3 linked regions of the Saccharomyces cerevisiae S288C genome follow. Changing the gene in region 1 together with any one later gene gives a genetic interaction. Each region holds a gene or a part of one and is shown in the gene's direction. Other genes may lie near its edges.

Region 1 (3,979 bases):
GATGTACTATTATCCTCCATATACGATATATCTGTTTAAAAAAAAAGAAAAAAAAAGGTTACTTAAATTCATACTCATTAGAAAAAAATTCTAGGGATAACAACACCAAAGGTAGAACTTCGTTCAATTTATGAAAGGTTTGGCCATAATGGAGAACAAATGAATGAAGTATATAAAGAGAAAAACGACTTAAAAGATATTATTAACAATATCTGACCCAATACTAGCGCCTGCCCCAAAAATGGCGGCATTACCCAATTTGCTACCAAAGCTCTTCAAGTGGCTATGTGAGCTCTGATGTTGTTGTTGTTGTTGTTGTTGTTGGGGAGGAGGAGCTTGTTGCGGCTGTTGTTGAGGCTGCTGATAATAATTTGTGGAAGGTGGAGGAAATGGCTGCTGTTGATAAGATGATGCGGCACTATTTTGCGTGGGGATTTGTTGTAATTCTTGAGCTTTATACTGTGGAGGTGGTGGAAGATTGGATGGACCGTTAGACCCAGAGAAAGCTGGCTTGACATAGTTTGCTGGGAAAATACCGGTACGGCCATTACAGCTACCCTTGTACCACTCTGGAGATAATTTTTCTAAAAGTTGGACCTTGTCACCTGGTTTTAAGCCCAAATCACCATCTTGTTGAGGATCAAATTGATAAAGAGCTTCGACATATTCCAAGGAAGCTGGACTGGCGTTGCGGGGTGCATTGGCAGGATCCCATTTTGCCGGCAAGCTCTTATTTATTTGATCGTAAACGTCATTTGAAATGACATTTGACCCTTTTAGAAAATCCAGTTCTGTCCTAATGTTTGTTAAGGAACGATTAATCAATGAAGCAGACATTTTTGAAATATCAGATTGCCTTCTTTCCTAATGTTCTTGTGTTTGCGCCAATGTGGGCACTTTGCCTATTGTCTCAACCGATTTGAGGTTCGACTATATATGCAGCTTACAATATCCATCCCCGCCTCGAAGGAGGCTCGGTTAATCACGCTGCACGAACGAAAACAATAGTTAAAGAAACGTTTAGAACAATCTAGCGCTTTGAAGAAAGAGTATTAGGCTCTTTACGTGAAGGATGGCACATTCTCATTCAAAAGTTGCTGCTAACTTTTATCATCAAATCAGTAAACCCCTTCTTGTTTTTTCTTGACAGAAGCTTTCACATAACGGAACCAACCATGGAATAACTTAGCACCACATCGAAAAGGATTTGGACTACTGCGCAACAAAGTGGGACCCATGTAGACATAGAAAATAAACCAGATCTATAGATCGCACCTATTAAAAACCCCATAACTGTACCAGTCGTCAAGCCTTGAACGCCTCCGTATAAGACGTACATGACGAATATCCATACACTTCCAGCCTTCTTTCTATGGGTCAAGCTAGCATACACACCAGCAGTAACGTAAAATGCACCATTAAAGATCAAAGTCCAGTACAGCGAAAATTTCCAAATGTCAGATATATAGTATAAGAATGCAGTATTATACTTCGAGTTGTTGATGGGCCAGTATAATGAGGGGAATTTTGGCGTTACATATCCAACAGGTATATCGTTATTTGTTACGAATGATCTGAGCACAGGGAACATGCGACAGAGTAGTGGATGTTTTTATTGTTAGTTTTGTGCCTATTATTTTCTTAAGCCACAGGGAGCGATGCCTGCATCCAGCCGTGGCGGATATAGTCTTGGTAATGAATAACATACCTCATAATACGGCAGGAAGTTGGAACTGATCTTGTTGGCAGTTTTTATCTTATACAGAAGCGTCAAGAGTAGGAAAAGGTTTTATTATTGCATATTTATCAACTTTCAGTATGTTTCTTTTTTTCTTCGGCAATGAAAGAGAAAACAATATAATTGAAGAAAGAGGAAATAGTGTCCGAAAGAGATTCTGATATGTATTATAAAGAGAAAGACAGTTCAGTAACACAGAATCGCCATGCGTGGAGAATGGCAGGAATTTAAGACACCTGCAGGCAAAAAGTATTACTATAATAAGAACACGAAGCAGTCTCGATGGGAAAAACCTAATTTGAAGAAAGGCTCTAACCTAGAAAGCAATGCGAAAGAATCACAGACAGAGAGGAAGCCAACATTTTCATTAGAACTGGTTAATGGTTGGCACTTAATAATATACAACGATGGTACAAAACTTTACTTTAATGATGACTCTAAGGAGTTCAAAAATGACATCAGTCAAGAGGACGACAGCAGGTGTCGCTCATTAATCGAGTCGTTAGATAAGGAAAAACTGGTTCTTCTGATTGGCGTTGCCAGAGGTTACACTATGCGGGAGGAGGACATTGATAAAATCCTCGAATCTTGCAACGAAGAGATTCATCTATTTAAAAGAAATCAAGACGAAGTTGAGAGAAAAGATGAGATCAGCGAAGAGGCGGGTGACGTAAAATCCCCTTTACAGGAAAGCCACACTGGGCTAGTCAGCGGGTATGGTTCATCTTCGGGGGAGGAAGACGAAGAGGAAGACGAAGAGGAAGACGAAGAGAATGAAGAACAAATTGTAAATCAAGATATCAGCATTATCGATGATCTGAATCGTATTGATACAGATGACATTGACGAGCGTAATATCTTCTTCGAATTATTCGATAGGTATAAACTAGACAAGTTTTCCACGTGGTCGCTGCAAAGCAAGAAAATCGAAAACGATCCTGATTTTTACAAGATCAGAGATGACACAGTTCGTGAAAGTCTTTTCGAAGAATGGTGCGGCGAGCGCAGTGGCAATGCCACCGCTGAAGAAAGCGATAGCGAAGATAATAGCGAAGACGATAGCGAAGTACTAGAACCAACAAAATACCATTATCTGGCACAAATTGTTGCTAATGCGGGAACAATCGCACCCGACACCATCCCACAAGATATAAGGAAACAACAAAAAGCGTTATACAAGGCCTACAAAATCAAGGAGTATATACCGTCGAAGCGCGACCAAGACAAATTCGTTTCCCAACTGCTGTTTTATTATAAGACGTTCGACTTGGAACAGCGGAAAGAGATTTTCTGCGATTGCCTACGGGATCACGAACGAGACTTTACGGGGGCAGTCGAATCGCTGCGTCAGGACAAAGAGCTTATCGACCGATGGCAAACACTTCTGAAAGCACCCGCGGACAGTAGTAGTATAGAGGATATATTGCTGAGCATTGAGCACAGGTGTTGTGTCAGCCCAATAGTGGTGACGGAACCACGCTACTACGTCGTGGGCATTCTGGAGAAGACCGTGGTCTGGGTGCGGTGGCTAGCCGCCGAGGTCGGGCCATCAAGCCGGTTTACCCCAGTGGGCGCGGGGAACGAGCCGATAAATCCGGAATAGGAAGGGCAGACCAGGGGAGCAAAGAGTGATTAAGCTTACGCACCTGGTATGGACGTGATGGAAGTGGGGTGGTGATAGCAACCAGAATACGGTAGGGTCTTTACGCTTAGTGTACCTATCGGTATTCAGGCTCTTTGCCAGTGATTGGGGCTGCGGGATCCGCCATCATATCTAGTCACTTTTGTATAAGAATGAATGATAAGAGCAGGTGCAATTTTCGGACTTTAGATGTTTCTTGTGTTTCATTATTTATAGCACATTTATTTTTTCCCTCTGAGTGTGTGTCTGCATGTATACATTTTAGTTGAATTATAGAGAGTAACGAAACACACACGCATACACGTATATACAAAGACATATATACGTACGGAAATAGTGAATAAGGATGATTTTATTAAAGAGGACAAAAATTAGGGGCGTCAGCGTCTCTTTTGTAAGCTTGCAAAGAAGGACTCACAGCAGACTGGTGAACCCCATAAGGCAGCAACATCAACAAATTACCAAGCAAAGGAGTTCAAAGATTTTAAAGAATGCGCATTTCTATGACTTTAGATCGCTGCCCAAAGTACCTACTACACAGTATTTGGAAGCTAGGGAGCTCACCCGCGATATTCTGTATAGCGGATACAGGCCAGTAA
Region 2 (2,859 bases), on another chromosome or scaffold:
CGTTCCCGTGGTAGAAATGCTTTGATTTTCAGATATGCGAAAATAACGTCGACGTTCTCTATCATAATAAAACCCTGGTAAGTTAGGTGTCATTTGTTTAACGTCCGTTAACTTCCCCTTTCTGCTTTACCAACTGCTGCTTATTTATTCGCCCTTTTTTGTTTTCCATTGTTGTTCATCTCATTGCCTTTTTTTATTTTTCAGTTTTTCCCATATGCCAACGAGGAAAAAAGCCCTTTCAACCATACCAAAAAAAATGTATTTGAAGTAATGAATAAAGAATGATGATCGCTGGCGTTTAACATCTAGCATATATCTGCAATAATTTATCACTCCAGAAGAAACATCCATCGTCAACAATTTGATTTAATTGTTCTCTTTTGAATACATATTCTCTCTCGTACGGTGGGATCTTGTTATTGCTTGCCATTAAAAACCTATATTTTGTCTTTCTTCTGATGATTTCCTGGGATTTCTTTTTGTCCTCGTTCCCTTCCTGAGTGGAGGGAAAATCCAGTCTTCCAAAACCTGGGGGGGATTTTGATCTATTCCTCAAGTTATCAAACGCAAATTCGTAGTCCGAATTTTGCGATTCTATAACTACTGACAATGATCTGTGTTTAGAATCCTCTGGCTTTCCAACTTGGGCATAAAATCGCTCCAATTTTCTTCTTCCTCTCTTAACCGGGGCGATATCTTCATTTGGTCTAAAGTCTTCGAGAATCCAGGCTCGCTTTGTTAAAGGGTTCGTATTGAAGTCAAACAGGAAATTATCCTTAACATTTTTGTATAAATTTGGCGATGTAGATTCAGGGTTCTCGAGCTCTATTCCCAATAGTTTTCTTGTTTTGTTCTCTTTATCATTATCTTTTTCGTGGATTACAGTATCAGAGCAATCTTCCAAATCGCTTAAGTTGTTGAGGCCATTTAAAGGCGAACTAAACTCCGAAATTTTCCGTTTATGCCTATTAGGTGGCATAGTAACCAGCGGTAACTGCACAGTGTGTTTATTTTCATTACGATAGTGAACCTCTGCTGATTCTTTCTTTATGTCCTCATCAAACTGAGTAAGGATGAAATCTTCAGAATCTTGCTCACCTGGCCCCGCAGACGTCTGAGAGGATTGTTGAGGAGCATTTTTTTCGTGACATAGAATTTCAGCCAGTTTACTGTTAGGTTCTTCGAGAACACATTTATTCCGATTTTGCAGTGCTTGAACACGTTTCGCGATTAAGGTAGTCACGTCATACTGCACATTTAGTAGTTCATCGAGACTGAGCTCCTTGAGAATGGATAAGCTTGACTTTAGATACACATTTTCTTCACCAGTCACCATCTCACATACAAACACCTAATGGCTTACAGCATGGATGGAAATGCAGGTATGTGAACGATAACAATGTTTGCAAACGTAAACAAAAAAGGTATTAAAGCTTAAAAGCTTTTTTTTTGTAGAACGCGCTTAGAAAATGGCATAAAGAAAATGGCTATTTGACTTGATTTTGAAAGTTGTTCTCAAGACTCGAATGGTGGAAGATAACAACAGGACGTTTATTACATGGCATTGCATCAGTATTTATCAGAGACTTATGGGCCCACGAAACCCAAAAATAAGACGAAAAAGAAGAAGAAAGAGTCAAAATCAGACGCTAACTCAGACAAAACTTCTTTGATAGTAAAAGAACGGCTAAGTACACTGCAACAAGAACAGGAGAAGTCAGGAGTTGCTTCATTCAGCAAGTTTGACAAACAAAAAAGCAAGAATATATGGAAGAACCTGGAAACAAACGAGCTTTCCCATGCAATAACACATCCTTCCGCATCGTCAATTACTGGCAACGAAAGCAAGAACGATCTAAAGGAAATCAGGGCTCAAGAGCCACTTGTCACAGTAGCAGACAAATCGAAAACACGAAAAACCATATACAGAGACGCTCAAGGTCACAAGATTCAGGAAGATTCCAAGATAGACGATTCTAGTTTTAGTCGATCTAAATATGAAGATGAGAAAGCCGCGGAAAGAGAGCAATACCTGAAAAATTTGAATATGGGAGACGTGCAAAAGCTTGGAATAAATGTAGATGCACATGATAAGAAGAAAAATCAAACTGCCTCGAGTCTGACGATAGAAGACCCTGCAATAACATTTACACATGACAAAGAAAGAACTGTAAAAACATCTTTACTGGGCCGCAAGCTTTATGATAAGCCAGCACCTGAGAACAGGTTTGCCATTATGCCTGGGTCAAGATGGGACGGTGTCCACAGATCAAATGGCTTTGAAGAAAAATGGTTTGCTAAGCAAAATGAGATCAATGAGAAGAAAGTGCAAAGCTACACCCTACAGGAGGATTATTGAAAATGAGATAATATATAACTATGCGGAAAGCTTTGTGTAAAAAATACCCTTTGACAATCCCCATTTGTTATAAGCTTTTTCTTAACAAGATCAACGATTAAATACAAATACCCCTCTTTATATAGGTCTCAGATATACTATTAAAGTAACCTCGAATATACTTCGTTTTTAGTCGTATGTTCTAAGTAGATTCGTCTTTTTTATTATCACGGTCAGCAGCATTGCTTTGTGACTTTGGCGATTGACATTCAGTAGAGTTTGTGCCAGAAGAAGGTTTAATCTCGCCTTTCCTACTGTTCTTTGTTTCTCCCCCAATAGTTGAACCATTGCTGTGCTGTTTACCATTAATGAATTTTTTCAAATCTTGGCTTTCCTTTTCATTGACAACAATACGACTTCCTTGATCTGAAACATTTGTCATAGGAGGTGGAGGTGGGAAGGAAATCGGTTGTCCAAACCCATGTGGTGCTGGTGGCGGAATAGACATTCCATTCATATTA
Region 3 (2,241 bases), on another chromosome or scaffold:
TAAAGCTTCCCTTGCTTGTGATTAATGACTATACTATTGTTGATAAAAACTAGTTTGGCGTCGGGAACAAGGGAATTCTCATCATCATTGCAACGGCCGCATGCAATGTACTGACCTATTTCATAACCTAAAATGCCAACAAGACCTCCAATAAAAGGTATTTCTCTGTGGTTATCGATTATTTTATTCTCCATAAATTTACCCAAAGTGATCCAAAATTGGGATTTATCTTCATGTATTACCTCAAGGGAGCCAGGCAAATCCGAATCTTGACCATCTAGACACTTTTTCAACAAGGTGTAACTAATTTCACTATCTTGCCAATAATGAACTGTAGTCTTTTTCATAGCTCCATAATGAGTGAATACCTGGGATGCGGAGTTTGGTAAAGCAATGATAGACCATTCACCCGTATTTTCACTAATCACAGAAGATGACATGACAAATTTTTCTTCTCGTATGATGTTGCAAATTTCAAATGTCAATTTCGGGTCTTCAGAGACCTCGAACTGCTTAACGTAAGTTGTGTCCTCGCCCTTCGGATATTTCTCTTTTACCTTGTATATGGGGTCTCTATCAATAGTCCTATCCAATCGAGATAGGATATCGGAAAACTCTCCATTAAGTTTCTTCTTTTCCCACCTTCCTGTCTTCACGTTATTTATGAAACTCAACTTGAGAAAGTTACTGACTAACAGCCCCCCCAATTCTGAACAACATGACTCCGGGTGGTACTGTACGCCAAACCATGGCTTATTTTTCGTTTGAGCACTCATCAAAAGAATACCGTTCTCATCTTCGGTTGTGCATAAGGGCAAAAGGGTGTCAATGCCTTCGGCATTGACATGCAATGAATGGTACCTCGTAGATTTGAACGTATCGGGATAACCAGAAAAAAGGCCACAAGCTCTGGCTGCATCGTTTAAATGCATTTCATACACTTGCCCATGCTTGATAGTATTTAGCTCACTGACATCAGCACCTTGAGCCAAGCACATTGCTTGGAACCCAAGACATATACCCAATATTGGAACTTCATCTAACTTTCCATTGGCATTCTCGAAAAGCTCAGATATTATACCCATATCTTGTGCACCATTGTTGGGATTCCCAGGTCCTGGGCCAACAACGATAGCATCAAAAAGCGGCAAAAGTGGCAATAGCTGATCCATAGATTGGAACGTATCACTATGTACCGTCGTCACGTGCACGGCGTTGACTCCCGGTGAGATATCAGTTTGTTGTTCAATTAGTCTCACTACATTGTAGGTGAATGAATCATAAGAGTCTATGAACAGGACATGAAGCTGTTGCTGTTGTTGCTTTGTGTCAATTGTATCGGACAGCATTCCTTTATCCCCCTTGTGAAATCTCGAAAGGTCATCGTGTAAAAGTTCTACGGGAGACTTGCTTGTTTTTATATATTCGCGGTTTTGGCTGAGAGAGATGAGGAGGGAGAGGAAAAGATTGAGAAAGAGGAGCGGTGGCAAAGCTTAGATTGCAAATAAATACTCTGAAAATGATTGAGGTAGTTGTGAATGACCGATTAGGCAAAAAAGTCAGAGTGAAGTGCCTTGCTGAAGATAGTGTAGGTGATTTCAAAAAAGTATTGTCCTTGCAAATTGGCACCCAACCAAACAAAATTGTGTTGCAGAAGGGTGGAAGTGTTTTAAAAGACCATATCTCTCTGGAAGATTATGAGGTACATGATCAGACAAATTTGGAGCTGTATTACCTGTAGAAAATGCGCTGTTTTTTTTTTTTTGATCTAAATACACAATACATACATTTGCAACCGAGAGAGATAGAATATGTAGAAATAATAAGATGGCGTTGTCTCTATAATGCTTTTCTATTGTTTAGTAAGCTACAAGAAGTAATCAACATGTCTGTTAGAAGCAGATCTGGCTTGGTATACATCTGAAAATATGTACATTTCAGGGTCCGTGGAGCCATCTGCGGAGGCAGAGTCGTCTTCGAAATAATCTGCAATCAATTTCCTGTTGGCTACCGGATTAGATATGCTATCTTCTAAGGCATTGTCGTTCATACTGTTCTCTTTCAACAGTTTATTTTCAGGTGCCTCTTCGAAAACGTTGAAGTAGAATTGATCTTTACTATACAGCTCCAGAATAGATGCTTTATTGCCGCACCGATAACAATAGTTTGGCGCCGACCATACAGTAGTAACCAATCCATCAAAATATATCTGGTAACCTTCGTTACATAACTGATGGGCTC

Evidence for each region. Genes that interact genetically often act in the same process or in processes that back each other up.
Region 2: mutations in URN1 (region 1) and BUD13 together harm fitness more than expected from each alone (negative genetic interaction), as found in Saccharomyces cerevisiae (3 studies listed by BioGRID).
Region 3: mutations in URN1 (region 1) and HUB1 impair growth when combined (synthetic growth defect), as found in Saccharomyces cerevisiae (4 studies listed by BioGRID, with this or other methods).

Annotation. Positions count from the first base shown.
Region 1 is NC_001148.4:831,423-835,401, reverse strand, and holds URN1 (Urn1p), read left to right. Parts: upstream 1-1,943; coding exon 1,944-3,341; downstream 3,342-3,979. Other genes in the region: PIN3 (Pin3p), read right to left, coding at 190-837; MAY24 (May24p), read right to left, coding at 1,157-1,574, 1,709-1,713; SUE1 (Sue1p), read left to right, coding at 3,727-3,979. UniProt on the Saccharomyces cerevisiae protein: Component of the spliceosome involved in mRNA processing.
Region 2 is NC_001139.9:172,987-175,845, forward strand, and holds BUD13 (Bud13p), read left to right. Parts: upstream 1-1,558; coding exon 1,559-2,359; downstream 2,360-2,859. Other genes in the region: YGL176C (uncharacterized protein), read right to left, coding at 1-93; ssDNA endodeoxyribonuclease SAE2, read right to left, coding at 299-1,336; chromatin-binding exonuclease XRN1, read right to left, coding at 2,541-2,859. UniProt on the Saccharomyces cerevisiae protein: Required for efficient splicing and pre-mRNA nuclear retention. May also be involved in positioning the proximal bud pole signal.
Region 3 is NC_001146.8:686,743-688,983, reverse strand, and holds HUB1 (ubiquitin-like protein HUB1), read left to right. Parts: upstream 1-1,519; coding exon 1,520-1,741; downstream 1,742-2,241. Other genes in the region: ABZ1 (4-amino-4-deoxychorismate synthase), read right to left, coding at 1-1,349; putative serine/threonine-protein kinase PPG1, read right to left, coding at 1,868-2,241. UniProt on the Saccharomyces cerevisiae protein: Forms conjugate with SPH1 and HBT1. Involved in morphogenesis.